Linked DNA regions of Arabidopsis thaliana. The protein of the gene in region 1 interacts with the protein of each later gene in a pairwise test. Each region holds a gene or a part of one and is shown in the gene's direction. Other genes may lie near its edges.

Region 1 (4,791 bases):
TGTTTTGATAGAGAGAGTTGCAGCAGAGGAAAAAGTCGAAGAACTGCGGTTTAAAACGGAAGGGGGTTTGAGATTGTTGGAGAGTCTGAAGAAGGAAATCGAGGTTGCGAATGAGGAACATTTGATGGTTGCATTGGGAAAGATTGAGGCGTTGAAAGGATATAAAGAGATAGAAAGACAGAGAGAAGGGAAAGCTATAAAGGTTTTGGATTTGTTGGTGGAAAGGAATAAGAGAATCAAGAACATGTTGGAAGAGGCGGAAAGATCGAAGGATATTGAAATTGAGTTGTTTGAGACGAGTACGGATGTTGAGATGTTGGAAACACAGTTAAAGCTTTTCAAGAAAATGGAGAGGAGAGTTCAGGGGAGAGATAGTAGTAGTATGTCGAGATCAAACCGTTCTTTTGGAAGAGGGAAGTATAGTTTATCGGTTTTGAAAGAAGTGACTGAAGGGAAGAAGGAGGAACTTGCTTCTGTTAAAGTAGAGATCTTCAGGGTCATGACAGTAATGGATGCGTTGAGGAATGAGATTATCCGAGCCAGGGATGAAACAGCTTGCCTTGGAAAAATCTTGAGGGAAGATGATGTTAAGATTGAGAAACTCAACTCAAAGATTCTTATCGAAAAATCGAAGTTGGAAGTGGTATCTATCGCCGAAGAAAGGATTAGCTCTCTTGCTGAGAATTTCGTTGGTTCGCTTGAGAAGATAAAGAAAAGTAGAAATGCTGCAAAGAAAGAGGAGTTCCTTTTCAAAGAAGAGAAGACGGTTACAAAGGCGGAAACACAGAAAACCAAACTTGATATAGATAAAAAGGAAAGCGAACTGAATTCAAAGTTGGATGAGCTTGAAAAAGTGAAGCACACTGAGGCTTTAGTGCTTGAGAAGCTTGAATCTTTAGTAGAAGACATGATGGAGAGTCGCGAAATGGAGTCTGAGCATTGTTCAACAATCACTATCTCGAGGTTTGAGTACGAGTATTTGAGTAAACATGCTTCACAAGCGGAAGAAACCGCAGAGAAGAAAGTTGCAGCAGCAGCGGCGTGGGTGGAAGCACTCAAGGCTAGCACAAAATCGTTTCTGATGAAGACGGAAACTTTGATGAGAGAAAGTGAAATGACGAAAGCGGAAGAAGAGAGAGAAGTGTTTAGGATGGAAAGGTCATTGTCGACGAAGAGATTGGTGGAGGGTGAGATTCAGAAGATTAAGAGGAACTCGGAAGCTGAAGGCTATATTTCTCCCAAACCAGTTGGAAAATTCACACCGGTCCAACGTGGGAAGCCAAGAAGATACTCATCTGTTGGAACTCCAACTTTCTTTGTAATCAAGAAGAAAAAGAAAGTTCCACGCTTGGCCAAGTTCTTCAGTCGCAGAAGTTAAAAACTCAAATCATTTTGACTTCTGCGTTCAATAACAATTGCTAGAATCTCTAAGAAATCTAAATTCTATGAAATGATTCACATTCACATTCTTGTTCTTGTTCATTGTTGTGCATGATCATATAATACATGGAGTAGACTCATTCTAGCATACGATTGGTAACCATTGTTTTCATTGGCTTTCAACATTTATTTGTATGTTGCTGATCTTTATGAATACACTAGGCCAGTTAGAGGAAGAATTTTTCTCCTGGGTCTGTTCTGTCATGAACTTAGAGTTTCTGTATGTAATTTTGGTTATAGTTGTCTGAAAATGTTGATTTCTGGGTACCATGTAGTGCATATGTTTGGTACTGGTTTGACAATGTGTGAGCATAGTTATATGAATTATTTGTTCTATATCTTTTTTGGGTTCATGGTTTGTGGAATCTTAAAGAGCAACAAGATCTAGGGTGTTGGTCACTGTTCGCTATGGTCTGTTTCTGTGAAAGTTGGTGTCTAACTGATACCATAATCAAGAAATAGGATATATTTATTTTTACTAATGTAAATGTTTGTAAAATCGTTTGCTTGTTTTTATGCCATTACATTTCTATCATTTGTGGAAGTTAAGAGTTACCAAAATCAGAACTCAATAAACTTGATGTGGCTTTGATCTAATCCAGGTTTACTTGTGTGACAACTTCATTGATGAGACTGGATCACATTTAGATGAGTTGTGGCATATTGATATCTTTGGGTTCTTGAAATTACATTTAGACTATGTGCTCTTACTATATAGACTGAATTCGGTCATCAGGTTTCTTCTACGCAGCGCGTGGCTTTCACGGAAAAGGTCTGCGAGTGGTTCTTTCGTATGTATGCCTCACGAGCTCCACGAGGTATATCCTTACTAACGTGTGAGTATTAAATGTTTTCCTCTTTATTCCAGAAAAGTTTGTTCACAATCTTTAAAAGGAATCTCTTAGTCATTGGTACACTCTTAAATGACTATTATTACGTTATGATTCTAGCTCCATATATAGAGAACCCTTGTTCTTGCCAAACTCTACATCTTCAAAGATTTTTCATCATCTGTTGTGAAATATAACATGAGGAGGCCAAAGTCATCTCACGTCAGGATGGAACCTGTTGCGCCTCGTTCACATAACACGATGCCAATGCTTGATCAATTTCGATCTAATCATCCTGAAACAAGCAAGGTAAATTTAGTCAGTCCTAGTTCTGTGTTTTTGGCTTAAAGTCTTTTTATGTATGTTTCTTTAACATTTTGGTCTTAAACAGATCGAGGGGGTCTCTTCGTTGGACACAGCTCTGAAGGTGTTTTGGAATAATCAAAGGGAGCAGCTAGGAAACTTTGCAGGTGACTGATATTAAGAGATGTTTAGAGTACCTAAATAGGAAAAAAGAGTGCATTGACACCTAAATGCTAATTCTTCGACTTGTTTTGGTTACCTACAGGCCAAACTCATTTGCCGCTATCTAGGGTCAGAAAGATTTTGAAATCTGATCCTGAAGTCAAGGTATGTGAGGTTAACTTGAATTATGTTGGCTGGTCTAGAGTTTCTGAAATTGCCATTATGATCAAATTTGTTAGTCTGTTGAGTTTTACTGTTAGAATGTTTTAGTGTTGTTTATTTTTACTGTTCCTTTGACATCTTTCTAAGGTTGATATCAATACTTATAGACAAGATATATGTGACATCAAAGATTTGAAGAAATATGTTTGTTATTACAATTTTTTCCTAAGATATATGTGAATTTTCAGAAGATAAGCTGTGATGTTCCTGCTTTGTTTTCGAAAGCCTGTGAATACTTCATTCTAGAGGTAACATTACGAGCTTGGATGCATACTCAATCATGCACTCGTGAGACCATCCGGCGTTGTGATATCTTCCAGGCCGTAAAGAACTCAGGAACTTATGATTTCCTGATTGATCGTGTCCCTTTTGGACCGCACTGTGTCACCCATCAGGTTAGCTCCTTTTCGCAATCTTACTCGTGAAATCAAAAAAATTATGTTTTCATGTGCTAAATCTTTCTGTTCAGGGTGTGCAACCTCCTGCTGAAATGATTTTGCCGGATATGAATGTTCCAATCGATATGGACCAGATTGAGGAGGTGATTATTTTACTTAATAATTGGTATTATCTGAAACAAAGCATTTTAATGCGATGCTAAGTTAGAATTCATGTTCGTTTATTGCATTTGCACCAAAACCAGGAGAATATGATGGAAGAGCGCTCTGTCGGGTTTGACCTCAACTGTGATCTCCAGGTAGTTTTCTTTGAGCTTCTATTCATACAACAATTGCATTAGTGTATAGTTTCTGTTTTGCAAACATTTTAGATTGAGGATGCACTAGTAAACATATTGTTAGAGAACCCATTTAGAAAAGAACTTCATAGTAGCTTCAATTTGAGAGCAATCTTGCTAGCATCATTGTTAGGACTTAACAGATTTGTGCATAGAGACTAACTAGATAGGGGATAAATATATAAAGGTGTATCCAGAGAAATCCATGAGACATTTGGCATTTGCAGTATTTGATTCATTGAAGGATTTCAATTTGATATCTTGTTGTTTTTTGAGTAGTTAGTTGATACTTGTTGATGAATGCGATACCGAGTTAATTTACTTACGGACTGCGAATAGAAAATAAGAAACCATTTGGTTGTTTGTTCCTTAAGATTTATGTTCTTGCTATGGATTTGTACTTGTGGCTTCGGATCTGCAGTGAACATGAAGCTGCTCTGGAAGACAAAAACTTGAAGAAGAGAAGAAATCTGAAGAGGAATCACCCAACAACTCTATGTTATGTTCACCTTATAATAGTTTATCATAAACTCATTCACTAAACTATGTGTATTATTTATTGTTCCTGAATAAAAATACAATGTTTCGGTGTTTCCTCCTAAACCAAAAAAGAATAATACAATGTTTGATATTTTTACTTATGTAATTTATTTTTTTATTTATTTTATTTTGTTTTTTTTGTCATTTGCACGAAAAAGTTTTCTACACATTTTGATGAACACGTTTTAGGTGGATCTATTTTGGTTTCTCTCTTTAATAATGTCCATGGGTGGGGCACAACTCTGTACAACACCATAACTTTTCGTATCCTTAGTTTTGTATGGCCACTCTTTTGCCACTTCGGAATATTTGCCAAAACTAATGTTAACCAAAACTAATGCTTGTCAAATCATATTGTACCGAAAAATGTAAAGTATGGTGCCAAAGTAAGGTTTAACATCAAAGGACACCAAATGATGTCGAGGAAGGATGTAATTAACTAATGGTATGACATGTAAGCAAGAGATATATTTTTCTTCTATATTCTATGAAAATTGTTTACCAAAATATGTTTGTTTTTAAGTATGGACGGTGAAGTAAACGACACTCCGTCATATA
Region 2 (4,267 bases), on another chromosome or scaffold:
GTTCATAAAATAGCAGGTTGAAGACACCGGGTTCCCATGTCGAACCACTAAAGTGAAGCTAAAGGCCTTTGACACCATTTACTAAACTTTGAAACTTTGACTATGGTTGTGACTCGAATAGTTAAAACACAAATAGCTGGAGAAAAAATTAGAACCATGACATTAATAATTAAATAAAATATACATCACAGATGAGCATCGAGCAAGACATATATGATTTGCTTACCTATTACCTTCATCATGAACAGAAATTCTCAGTGTAATGATTGCTAAGAAATTCTTAGTGTAATAATTTTTAAGCCACTTTGTATCTACCATTGCACCTATAAAAGGATGTATTAGCAAAAACACATGAAACATGTTATAAAGAAGAGAAGTAACAAAGTGTGAATCAGTATCACCACATTTGGACGATACAAAAGCTACACAAAACAAATATTAAAATTATAAAAATGAGAGAGAGAAACTTGATTTTAGTTCATTTCTTTAGTGAAAATGAGAAAAATAAAAAACAACGTAATACAGAGGACGAAGCAAACCTTTGAGATTACCATTCTTTGGTTTCTCCAATCCGTCATACTCATATGGTTCGTGCTTTGTCTTTTTTTCTCTTTACTTTCAATTTAATTATGTGGAAAGACTTAGCAGACCACAAAATATTATTTCGATGTTTAAACAATCCCGAAAGCAACACAGAATGATAGAAGTTTAAAAGGAGTTGTAAGAAACAAACCTTGAGGAACCGATGTTAATGTTGTTCCTATGAAGAATCCTACCAGGAGCAACGTCACCACCATCGATCAACTCTCTAAGCCCCCAATTCTCCACCTCCTCTTCTTTCACCTCCTTCTTCTTCTCCTTCTCCACATGGCGGTTATTAGGAAGCTTCACAGGCAACCTCTCGAAGTAATTCCCGAAACTTACCATGCACGTTTTTATTATCTTCGTATAGAAAGAATGAAGCTTCAACCTCAAGCGTTAACAAATGCAGAGAAACCAACTTAAAAAAAACTGACATGCAGCGTCTTGCATTTTATAAGGTGAAGGGTTACACTAAAAATGATATTAAATATGATACTAAATATTGAAATCATGGTCATAATTACATAAATGATAATTATGTTAGTGTAACGTAACTGCTTTGATTTATGAAATAGAACAGTTTAGTTGACTAAAAAAAAAACAGCAATAGTTAGACATAATAAATAAAAGAAAACGTGATATCACATGTGTCATTAAATAGAATATTAATTAAACTCAAAGAATATGGAAAATAGTATATTTAAATTTAAGAAGAATGACACATGTCGAATGAATAAAGCGCCACTTGTAAGATTTTTAGAGCACAAGTTTGAGGAAACCTTACTTTATTATATAAGATACTAGGTTTTATTACAAAACTAATACTATTTTGATTCCAAACAAATATATATTTGCTTAAATGACAGAATAAAAACTGAATAAAACAATAAAGATAACAAGAAAAACAGTAAACCACTTAAATAATTAAATTAGACAATTAAATAAGTAGAAATTACATGTCACTGAGAAAAACCACTTATCATAACAACTATTTAGATAAATTAAATCCACTTACATAAATACAATGTATATAAAAAAGAAATCATGTTTTTTTACTATAGTTTACATGATAGAAGAAAAAAATTCACTACATTGAAATAAATCTTATATATTTTATTTCACCTAATTACTAAAAAAAGCAGAACAAAGAAACATTGTTGAGGAAAAAACAAAAGAGTTTTTTTTGTTTGTTTGGTTTTGTCAAATTAACAAAAAAAAAATGAACGGTGTCGATAAAAAAATAAAAAAGCCCTAAATCGTTGAATCGCATACAAGCTCCTATCTTCTCCAGCGTCGGATCAGATCAGATCAAATCTCTCTCTCCATCTCCGTCTCCTCCTCCAATCATCATTTCTCTCTCCGTCTCCCGCTCTTTTTCGAATTCTCCTTCTTCTTCAGGTATTCTAATCACTTCTTCGCGCTTTCTGGGTTTGGTTCCTCGATTCTCCCGATTTCCCAATCTCTACCTGATTATCTAGGGTTTCTGAGATGGCCGAATCGCAAACCGGTGGTGGTGGTGGTGGAAGCCATGAGAGTGGCGGTGATCAGAGCCCGAGGTCTTTGAATGTTCGTGAGCAGGACAGGTTTCTTCCGATTGCTAACATAAGCCGTATCATGAAGAGAGGTTTACCTCTAAATGGCAAAATCGCTAAAGATGCTAAAGAGACTATGCAGGAATGTGTCTCTGAATTCATCAGCTTCGTCACCAGCGAGTAATTTCTTTCTCTACTTTCTCAAAAATGTTACCTTTTTGTTGCTTTGGTGGTTATAGCGTGTAAAGCCCTCTTCTTTGTTAAGTTAGATTGATGTTATATTCATTGGGTTGTTAAGCAAAGTCACTATGTCGATTTTGGAATATTGTTTTGCCTTTTAGGGCTAGTGATAAGTGCCAAAGAGAGAAAAGGAAGACCATCAATGGAGATGATTTGCTTTGGGCTATGGCCACTTTAGGATTCGAAGATTACATCGATCCCCTCAAGGTTTACCTGATGCGATATAGAGAGGTATGTTCCACTTCAGATTAGTCAGTTTACATTCTGCTATACATTCACTGACTCTCTGTTTTTCCTTCTCATTTCCTTGTCTATGCTATTTGGATTGGAATTTTGCAGATGGAGGTTCGTGGTTCTCCTCTTTCATTTATCTTTCTGATAGTCGAATTTTGTACGTGGATCCTTTTATGGGGTATATGGTGTATGATTGTATCTAATTAGGATTGTCTGCTACCCTTTGCTATTGTTATCTGTCTGATAGGGTGACACTAAAGGATCAGGAAAAGGCGGGGAATCGAGTGCAAAGAGAGATGGTCAACCAAGCCAAGTGTCTCAGGTAATGACTCGGTCTTCTCCAGTTGATATGGTCGTTTACCTAAGCATTAGCTTCTCCAGCTAATTTATTGTTTCCCTGTCTTTACTTTCTGAACAGTTCTCGCAGGTTCCTCAACAAGGCTCATTCTCACAGGGTCCTTATGGAAACTCTCAAGTAAGTGTTTTCCGACAAAAGAAATGTTGATACTTATAAATGAATTCATTCTCTACATAGAGCAGAGCCGGGGTATAAAGAGAGAATATTATTAACAATTAAAGGATTTAAGGACTTTAATAGACTCGATAAAACCGTCATATATGCATTATCCACTTTTTGAAATCTAGACATAGGTTCTCATATGTTCCAGTCTCTGAGGTTCGGCAATAGCATCGAGCATCTTGAAGTGTTAATGGTATTTGTAATCTATCAATATGCAGATAATTGATTAAACTCGTTTGTGAATGTAGGGTTCGAATATGATGGTTCAAATGCCGGGCACAGAGTAGTACTAGGACACTATTCATCACAATCTTCCGAGACTCGACTATGCCTGTTGTGTCTGAGAATCTGAGTGATCCACTTTCCATAGATATGGATTGTGGTATCTCAGTTTTTGGGAGAGAGAAGATTTGTATATGATTGTGTTGTAGGGAGAAGAGTTTGGTTTGCTTATGATAAGAATTGAAAAGCACCTTTTTTTTCTTTTGACTGTTATGTTTCTTAGGTTTTGGTCTTAAGCAGAAGCTATTTATCACCACTTCATTGGCCTGTTGATTCTTTCATGCAAGTGAGCCCGTAACTTTTATAAAACAACATCATGATTTATAATTATCTCTTTGATTTTTTGGTCCTAAATTCGAGTTTCATTTGACATCATCCATTGATAAAAAGAAACGAAACTTGATATTGAATCGTTGTGGTGTGGTAAAATTCACGATCTAAGTTTGTGATAACACTCCGTTTATCTGTTGGTGTATATTGATAAGGCTTTCTGTTACTGCTCAGAATCTAACACATGGGACATGTGAATGTCATATGGAACATGTTCATGTTTATGGGCCTAATCTTGATCAAACAAAAATAAAAACTTTGAAATTTAAGAAAAACTGAATAACAGAATCTAAATGAAACAATAGTAAGAATAAAAAGACCAAAAACTCTTTAAAAGAGCAAAACCAAAACCTAAAACTCTTGAACTAAACTCAATGCTTAGTGATGAGGTCTGAAAGGGTAACTACCATCTGTTGACGGTAGGTGACAACTTCTTCTTGGGAACATTCGGGAAAGTAACAGCTTCGGTTGATGGTTGCACCGTGACTCGAAGCTTAATCCCAGCCTGACAAAGACCGGTCTTTAAGCTTACAAAATAATGCACTCC
Region 3 (5,039 bases), about 11 Mb from region 1:
CGGGTTAACGTTTGTTGTTTCCCACAAAACCGCGATAGTAATCAAGAAAGTTAAACGGATTGCATGTCAGTATTTACTAGTTCGAAACTTGGTTGGTATGAACTGCATGTTAATTATATTTTTAATGACTTCAAAGTGTTTGCTTAATGTTTTTAGTTATGATTTTATGTTTAAATTATAGATAATCTCTAGAACAAAACCAAACGTTTTAGCGGTTATTTTGATCAACAATATGATTGATATATACTAAAGATGGCATATCTATAGATGATTATAACTAGGTATACAAAATAAGTAAACCATAGCATCTTAAAAACAATTCTACTATAAACGATATTTTTGTTTGTTTGTGTAGACCTTTGATATTCATTGATATCATCACTTACTGAAAAAATAAAAAATTGAATAAGCAAAAAGCTGAATACCGACGACTGTCGATCCTTAAACTCACGAATCACGATTGTCAAACGCACGCTCACGGCTCACGGGAAGCTTTAGCCGCTATGATAAACGGTATCTTTTATCTAGGCGGCCAAAACTTTGTTCACCATAACACTTCAAACACAAATGTAGACCATTACACATATATAATCAAATGGTTTCCACTTAATATATGTTAGTATTCAAAATAACAAGATATTTTAAAAGCATAACAAGAGTTAGTGTCTCTATTTTCTCCCCACCTTCTTTCTAAATATAAATATTGCGTATGATTCATCATTTTCGCCTTTTTTTAATGGCTAACGTTCGGTGGTTGAGTGTCTGAGTGTCTGAGTGTCTGAGTCATATGCTATATATTATGCTTTGTCATTTTCCATATCATATTTGTGTATCCCCTTGTCCATGACCGATTAATTAATTTCGCTCTCACAACAAACACTTCACTAGAGAAAATATAATTACCATCTGTTCCCCTGAAACAATACATAATCAATGATGATATCAACATCAAGTGTTATAGTGAGAAATGCACAGCGAAATTTCTCAATTCGGTTTAGTATTCCAACAAATAAATCAATTATTGTTCACAAAGACGATCTGGCCAAAACTCATATAAATGTTATGTGTTATGGATCCTTTAATCTCCGTAATAACACCAAATTACTAAACTTCGAACGTATTTTACCTTTTGTAACCATTTAATATGATTTTAATAAACTTTTCATAGTTTTTTTTTTTACCTACAATTATTTATGGAAAATATTTTTTTCAGTTGTATTATTATTATTATTTTCTTAAAACAACTATATTTTTTTCATGAAGGGAAAACACTTTATATTATTTTGTGAAAGAAAGAAATTACAAATATTGAACTAATTAACTTATTTCTTTAACAAAAAAAAATCTTTTAATTGTTTTTGCCAATAGGGTCCCCACATTTTACAGGTGTCCCTCGTCCCAGCCCATCACTTGCGTGTCACTTGGACCCAAATTTCTCCTGTTTTTTAAAAGAAATTTAATTTCTTTCTAGTATATAAGAAAAAACAAAACAAATTAAAAATGAACCTATGATAACGTCAGCCGGAGAAGATCCCAGATCTGCGCGCGCTGGCATCTTTCATAGAGCGCCACGTGGCAAAAAGATTTTTCACTTTCGTAAGTGATCTTATCAAATCTCGGTCTTTTGTGTAAATTCATCATCATCATATAACTTACTCTATTTCGATTTTTCAATAAATTACTTAATATCAAAAACCACAATTCTGGCAAAAAAGAAAAATCCCCAAAATCTAGGGTTTTCTTCTCGCCCAATTTCACTTTTCTTCTACGAAATTCTCCATTCCTGCCGGCTGTCGGGTTTTCTGAATCGATTCTCCTTCACCAACTTCTTCTCTGGTTCTGTTCGATTCTGATTTTTTTTCAAGGTCAATTTTTTCTTCTCTTTAAACTCTGCAAAATCGTGATCGATTAAATTCACCTCAGGGTTTTTTGATTTCTGAAAGAAGTTAATCTTCTTCGAAGGCGATTGCAAAAGAGTGCTCTGCTGTGAATTTCCACTGGTATGTTCAATTTTTTCTGTTTTTGAAATTTTGTTTGCTAGAATTCGTGAAGGGATTGAAAAAATTGATGCAGGTGGCTAAAGAATCTCTTGAATATTACGAGCTTATGTAGGTTTAGAGTGTAAATTCGAGACATGTGAGATTTTGGTGCTTTCTCATATTTTTGCATGCTTCTGCATTGCTTCATAGCCCTAAAATTGCTCTCTTTTTTTTGTAGTTGGAGTCTGTATCTTTTTCACGGTTTTAGTGATGAATTTTTTTTTTTGATTGGATTTTGAATTGGTTACTGAACATGTGTTGACTTGATTATGTAGAGATGCAATCAAAACCGGGAAGAGAAAACGAAGAGGAAGTCAATAATCACCATGCTGTTCAGCAGCCGATGATGTATGCAGAGCCCTGGTGGAAAAACAACTCCTTTGGTGTTGTACCTCAAGCGAGACCTTCTGGAATTCCATCAAATTCCTCTTCTTTGGATTGCCCCAATGGTTCCGAGTCAAACGATGTTCATTCAGCATCTGAAGACGGTGCGTTGAATGGTGAAAACGATGGCACTTGGAAGGATTCACAAGCTGCAACTTCCTCTCGTTCAGGTTTGAGTTCTTGGTCTTTAGGCCTACTTGGTGTATTGTTCATATTCATCATTTCTGCAGTACTGTTTTACTGGATGACCTAGTGATCACTGTCGAAAGTGATGTTGTTCCACGTTCGGAATGTTGCAACTTGGTGAAGAGTTGTTCCTCAAGCAGGCAGGGAAATTAAATGGGCATTTGTGTGATTCGGCACTATAGGGCGTGTCAAGTTCATGAATCTGGTCCTTGAAATATACTTGCATTGTAATTGTAGGGTTTCATAGTTCTATCCATGCCAAGGAGATTCTGTCTCGTTGATATGTGCATTGTGATTTCTTTATTTTGTTTGTAATGGTGTCTTTCTTCAACTTCAGTAGATAATCACGGAATGGAAGGAAATGACCCAGCGCTCTCTATCCGTAACATGCATGATCAGCCACTTGTACAACCACCAGAGCTTGTTGGACACTATATCGTATGTGGTTTCCTCTCATTCCTTAATATATATATATATATGCTTTATGAGTTCTTGAGCTGTTAAATTGACTTCTTATTGGTCCCTCAAAAGGATTTATCTTGTATAACGCCCTTTTCATATGTATGATAAACTCAAAACTTCCTTACAGGCTTGTGTCCCAAACCCATATCAGGATCCATATTATGGGGGATTGATGGGAGCATATGGTCATCAGCAATTGGTATCTTGTCGAAACCTCTTTCAATCTCTACAATAGTTCCATATGGTGCAGTGTTTATTTGATGTATGTGCGCTTTTGCCACTAAGTACCCGTTTGTGGTGATTTTATTTACTGTTGGAATGTGTCTGGGTTCAGCAATAGTCAGTGAGATGCTTTTAAAGTTCATTTCTGAAATAACTGAGAATCCAAAGTTATATCTGAAATTATCGAGAACAACTAATGGGGATTCTTGGGGTCTTATAAGTTATATGTAAAGTTTTCGATGATCTGAGTCTATTTGTTGCATTTATTTTGTTCATTGGTTTAAACAGGGTTTTCGTCCATATCTTGGAATGCCTCGTGAAAGAACAGCTCTGCCACTTGACATGGCACAAGAGCCCGTTTATGTGAATGCAAAGCAGTACGAGGGAATTCTAAGGCGAAGAAAAGCACGTGCCAAGGCAGAGCTAGAGAGGAAAGTCATCCGGGACAGAAAGGTATTTTTTTCTCATTTATGAAAATTGTACTTGATTGGTGTCCTGGTAATCTAAGGATGGTGTAGAGTCCATAATAGAAGTGGACCCATGCTATATGAAGGATTGATAATGAGCATTAAGAATTTGCAAGTTTGGTTTGTCGCTCGGTAAACTTGTATTGACTATGTTTGAAATGCGACAGCCATATCTTCACGAGTCAAGACACAAGCATGCAATGAGAAGGGCACGAGCGAGTGGAGGCCGGTTTGCGAAGAAAAGTGAGGTAGAAGCGGGAGAGGATGCAGGAGGGAGAGACAGAGAAAGGGGTTCAGCAACCAACTCATCAGGCTCTGAACAAGTTGAGACAGACTCTAATGAGACCCTGAATTCTTCTGGTGCACCATAATAAAAAAAGCCAAAGCTCTGAGAGGAGAGAGAGACACACACTTTGGCTAATATAATCATTGCCTCAAACCGGCAAATCATTCTTGGCTTTTTCGTTTTTGTGTTTGCTAGTTGTTCTTGTCAGAGTCTCATATTGTGTGGGTTTAACAGTTATGATGAATGTACAAAGAGCGAGTTATGTTAGGTGTTAGATTTTGGAGACAAGAGACTAAGGAATAGCAAGTAGGTCTTGTTTTTATTCTTTGACCTTTTTTTTCTCTTTTGCAAAATTGAAAAATACGTTTGCTTAATCGTTTGCCTTTCTGACCACAAAGTGTTAACAAGGCTATAACAATGCTTCAGATTTGTAGTCAAATTCTCTGTTTTCGCCAACTTAAACATTATTTGACCGGAGGAGAGTGATTAGAAAGTAGAAGAAACCTATTAAACATTATGTTTTGCAAAGAAAAAAAAAACAGCTTGCAATAAGTTGCATAGTTTGCTCATGGAAGTTTCAAGTTTGCATATAAACCAGATTTGAAAAGGACAGTGAAAAAAAAGAAGTTGTTAAATCTACAACGGGCAGATCGATTATTTATATCAACAAAAAACACGAAGAGCATATGAAAGAGAATATGGAAACACATAAAAAATTAAGAGTTGTCATTCTTTGAATCCCCGCAAGCAAGAAGAAGAAGAAGAAGAAGAGAGTCAATTTGTGTGTTTTGTCATTTGAAGAAGAGAGAGAAAGAGGAAGACTTTGACTCGTCTTCTTCCTCTCTTCTTCTCTCTCTATCACTGCATTTGTTTTTCCTCACAGCGTATGATGACTTTTCTCTTTAATTTATCCTTTTTAGCTACATATCTTCTTTTGCTTCAACTGATTTATACCCATTTAAATGTTTCTACCCATTATAAGTTCTGAGGTCT
Region 4 (2,851 bases), on another chromosome or scaffold:
AAGTAGAATTTACATCCAAAATATGGCATACGATCAAACAATATGTTGTACTTTTGCCAAAATAATTCAAAAAAGTGTTGGATAAAACACTTAAAGCCGAGGTGGATGAATGGAAGCCTTTAAGCCAAGGTTAAAAAAACAGTCGATGGACTTCAAAGTTAATATTGGGCTAAAAATTGAAGGACCCATTGACGAAGAAAAAGTGAAACAAACTTAATATCAGAAAACAGAAAGCCCATATGGTTCTTCTATCATTTCAAGGCATGCAAACCGTAAAATTGTTTTCAGTTTGGGATCCGACTTGGAATTTGGAAAAGAGAATAATAAACCCACCAATACACTATGAAATGAGAATAATAAAATACTCCATGGGTTACAAAAGACAGCATTGGCGAATTATTAATTATCATGTTTAAGCATACAATATAATTAGCAAGCAAAAAATAGGAGACCGTTAACAACTTTCCAATTGAAGTGTGATGCAATTGATAAATTAAGGGCAAAAAGTGTGATGCTTTTCACAAAGAAATAAAACTTTACATACACTTTTTTTCTAATTGGTTGTGAATGGTTAAGTCAACTCAGTTTCGAAGTATGTAGAACATCTTTTTAAATCGCATAATCCGGTTTTTAATTAATGACGTATTCTAGGTTTTTTTTTTTAAGTGCGTATATTCTAAGTTCTTACGTAAATATATGTCTTTAAAAAGATTATAATGATTAGTTAAGCCTCTCTATACCATGAATAAAGTGCAGAATGTAAAGGAAATGCTCTAAGAACTCCAAAAAAAAAAAAAAAGAAGAAGAAGGAAATGCCTGAAACTTTCCATCTTTCCGTTAATAGACTAGCAAGAACTCGAACAAAATGTGTGTTCACACATCTTCTACGATATTTTTTCCCAAACGAAAGGTTTATCATTTTCCCCAAAAATTAGGATACATATTCGACTAGAGACGTTCACCTACGATCACCAATTCATTAGGAATTCTTGATTATACAAAATATTATAAAATCATTATATTTAGACAATCCAAATCCAAATCCACAAGATACAAAATCGTGATAGTTTGACGTTTCATAATGCCTCATGTGGCTTACAATATGCTTAGGGTTTGAACCCATATCTAAAATGCACATGCTCTTAGTATATAAACCAATGACTTGGCCAATATAGACCCATTGAATATTTGTATTGGTTAACTTCTAACGACGAAATTTCTCAATATTTTGTTTTTAGCTATTGCCTTTTATATAGATTTGGTGAATTTTTGCGCAGTATTGCTAATAATTAAATAAGTATTTATTTTTAAAACATATTAAAACCAAAGGTCAAATGCATGCGAGTGGCCGTACTGGATTATGCGGATTACGTGCCTCGAATTTCATATTTTCTATAATACAATTAAGGTTTTGACATTCCATAAGCCAACCATTGCTTCATCAAGAATAATTTCTTTTACCAAAGTAGCTACGCTCTAATCAAAATTAAAGTTAAGATTTAATTTTAGATATTAATTTAGTATTAACTTGTCATATACAGTACTGTACGTAGATATCCGTATGTATTAGACGGATTGATGATGCATATGGATCAAAGCTAAGCCACAATCACCAAACAGGTATAAACGATTCTGCTATAGCTTATATAAGCTTAATTCACATACATATATACAGAGAGAATCTTAGACATATATTATATATATAGTATGTAATAAATTAAGAGTAGGTTCAAGTAGTACATCTACTCATCATACACATACACACCCTATATAATCTATATATAGAGAGAGGGAGGGTCATATAGGACAACTTGTATAAAAAGGTTATAAGAGAAGCGAGAGCTGATAGATTCACTGAAACAAAAGAGAAAAATGACAGACGAAGATAGATTGTTGCCAATAGCCAATGTAGGGAGACTTATGAAGCAAATCCTACCATCAAATGCAAAGATCTCAAAAGAAGCAAAACAAACAGTTCAAGAATGTGCAACAGAGTTCATAAGCTTTGTTACATGCGAAGCATCAGAGAAGTGCCACAGGGAGAATCGGAAGACGGTGAATGGAGACGACATCTGGTGGGCTCTCAGCACTCTCGGCCTCGATAACTATGCTGACGCCGTGGGTAGGCATCTTCACAAGTACCGTGAAGCCGAGAGAGAAAGAACTGAGCACAACAAAGGTAGCAATGATAGTGGGAATGAGAAAGAAACCAACACTAGAAGTGATGTACAGAACCAATCGACAAAATTTATTAGAGTTGTTGAGAAGGGAAGCAGCTCCTCGGCCCGTTGAACTAGACATCTAAGTTCTGAATTATTTACTATGAAGCCAAGAAAGATCTGTAGAGAGACCAGAAGGATTCAATAATGTCAATGTTGAATCATTAATACAATGTACATGTTTGTAATTGATTTCTAAACATGAGTTTCTACATACATATATATAAATCTATGATATTTCTTCTTGCAAGCAAATAACGTGTAATTTAGACTTAGAATATTGGTCGGTTCGAACAATAGGAAGAGGAGAAGATAGCAGAAACAAGGTACTAGCAAGATGATTTTGGTTTTCTTTTTCCTTTTGGTATATATATCACCGCATAGGTCGATCCAAGGCTTTCCATAAACATAATAGGCCAAAAAATAAGAGCTTTTTGTATATCTTACCGCATATATCCATTGATGGATCTGTTACAGTGGCTAGAACAATGATATTTTTTAATCCCCATATGCCTAATGGCCTTCTGGAGCCTGAGGCTAGTGTTAACCAAAATAAAGGAGCATTGGGACTTGACCATTTAAAATGAAATCCTAAAGAAGTCAGAAAGTAATTAGTTCACATTAAAGGAGAA

What was found.
Region 2: the proteins of NF-YC12 (region 1) and NF-YB10 interact in a two-hybrid assay, tested with the Arabidopsis thaliana proteins (2 studies listed by BioGRID).
Region 3: the proteins of NF-YC12 (region 1) and NF-YA1 interact in a two-hybrid assay, tested with the Arabidopsis thaliana proteins (one study listed by BioGRID).
Region 4: the proteins of NF-YC12 (region 1) and NF-YB4 interact in binary tests that used the Arabidopsis thaliana proteins (3 or more experiments, as listed by UniProt).

The regions. Positions count from the first base shown.
Region 1 is NC_003076.8:15,219,703-15,224,493, reverse strand, and holds NF-YC12 (nuclear factor Y, subunit C12), read left to right. Parts: upstream 1-1,969; 5' UTR 1,970-2,276; intron 2,277-2,390; 5' UTR 2,391-2,468; coding exon 2,469-2,579; intron 2,580-2,661; coding exon 2,662-2,740; intron 2,741-2,838; coding exon 2,839-2,900; intron 2,901-3,145; coding exon 3,146-3,352; intron 3,353-3,426; coding exon 3,427-3,498; intron 3,499-3,600; coding exon 3,601-3,654; intron 3,655-4,114; coding exon 4,115-4,117; 3' UTR 4,118-4,286; downstream 4,287-4,791. UniProt on the Arabidopsis thaliana protein: Stimulates the transcription of various genes by recognizing and binding to a CCAAT motif in promoters.
Region 2 is NC_003074.8:19,773,795-19,778,061, reverse strand, and holds NF-YB10 (nuclear factor Y, subunit B10), read left to right. Parts: upstream 1-1,772; 5' UTR 1,773-1,980; exon of another isoform or gene 1,981-2,060; 5' UTR 2,061-2,070; coding exon 2,071-2,294; intron 2,295-2,455; coding exon 2,456-2,585; coding exon of another isoform or gene 2,586-2,606; exon of another isoform or gene 2,607-2,693; coding exon 2,694-2,699; coding exon of another isoform or gene 2,700-2,795; exon of another isoform or gene 2,796-2,835; coding exon 2,836-2,910; intron 2,911-3,006; coding exon 3,007-3,063; intron 3,064-3,356; coding exon 3,357-3,395; 3' UTR 3,396-3,733; downstream 3,734-4,267. Other genes in the region: AT3G53342 (uncharacterized protein), read right to left, coding at 709-927; AT3G53330 (plastocyanin-like domain-containing protein), read right to left, coding at 4,124-4,267.
Region 3 is NC_003076.8:4,050,239-4,055,277, reverse strand, and holds NF-YA1 (nuclear factor Y, subunit A1), read left to right. Parts: upstream 1-1,608; 5' UTR 1,609-2,000; intron 2,001-2,314; 5' UTR 2,315-2,316; coding exon 2,317-2,593; intron 2,594-2,946; coding exon 2,947-3,047; intron 3,048-3,198; coding exon 3,199-3,270; intron 3,271-3,581; coding exon 3,582-3,746; intron 3,747-3,927; coding exon 3,928-4,131; 3' UTR 4,132-4,498; downstream 4,499-5,039. UniProt on the Arabidopsis thaliana protein: Stimulates the transcription of various genes by recognizing and binding to a CCAAT motif in promoters.
Region 4 is NC_003070.9:2,908,052-2,910,902, reverse strand, and holds NF-YB4 (nuclear factor Y, subunit B4), read left to right. Parts: upstream 1-1,870; 5' UTR 1,871-1,872; coding exon 1,873-2,292; downstream 2,293-2,851. UniProt on the Arabidopsis thaliana protein: Component of the NF-Y/HAP transcription factor complex. The NF-Y complex stimulates the transcription of various genes by recognizing and binding to a CCAAT motif in promoters.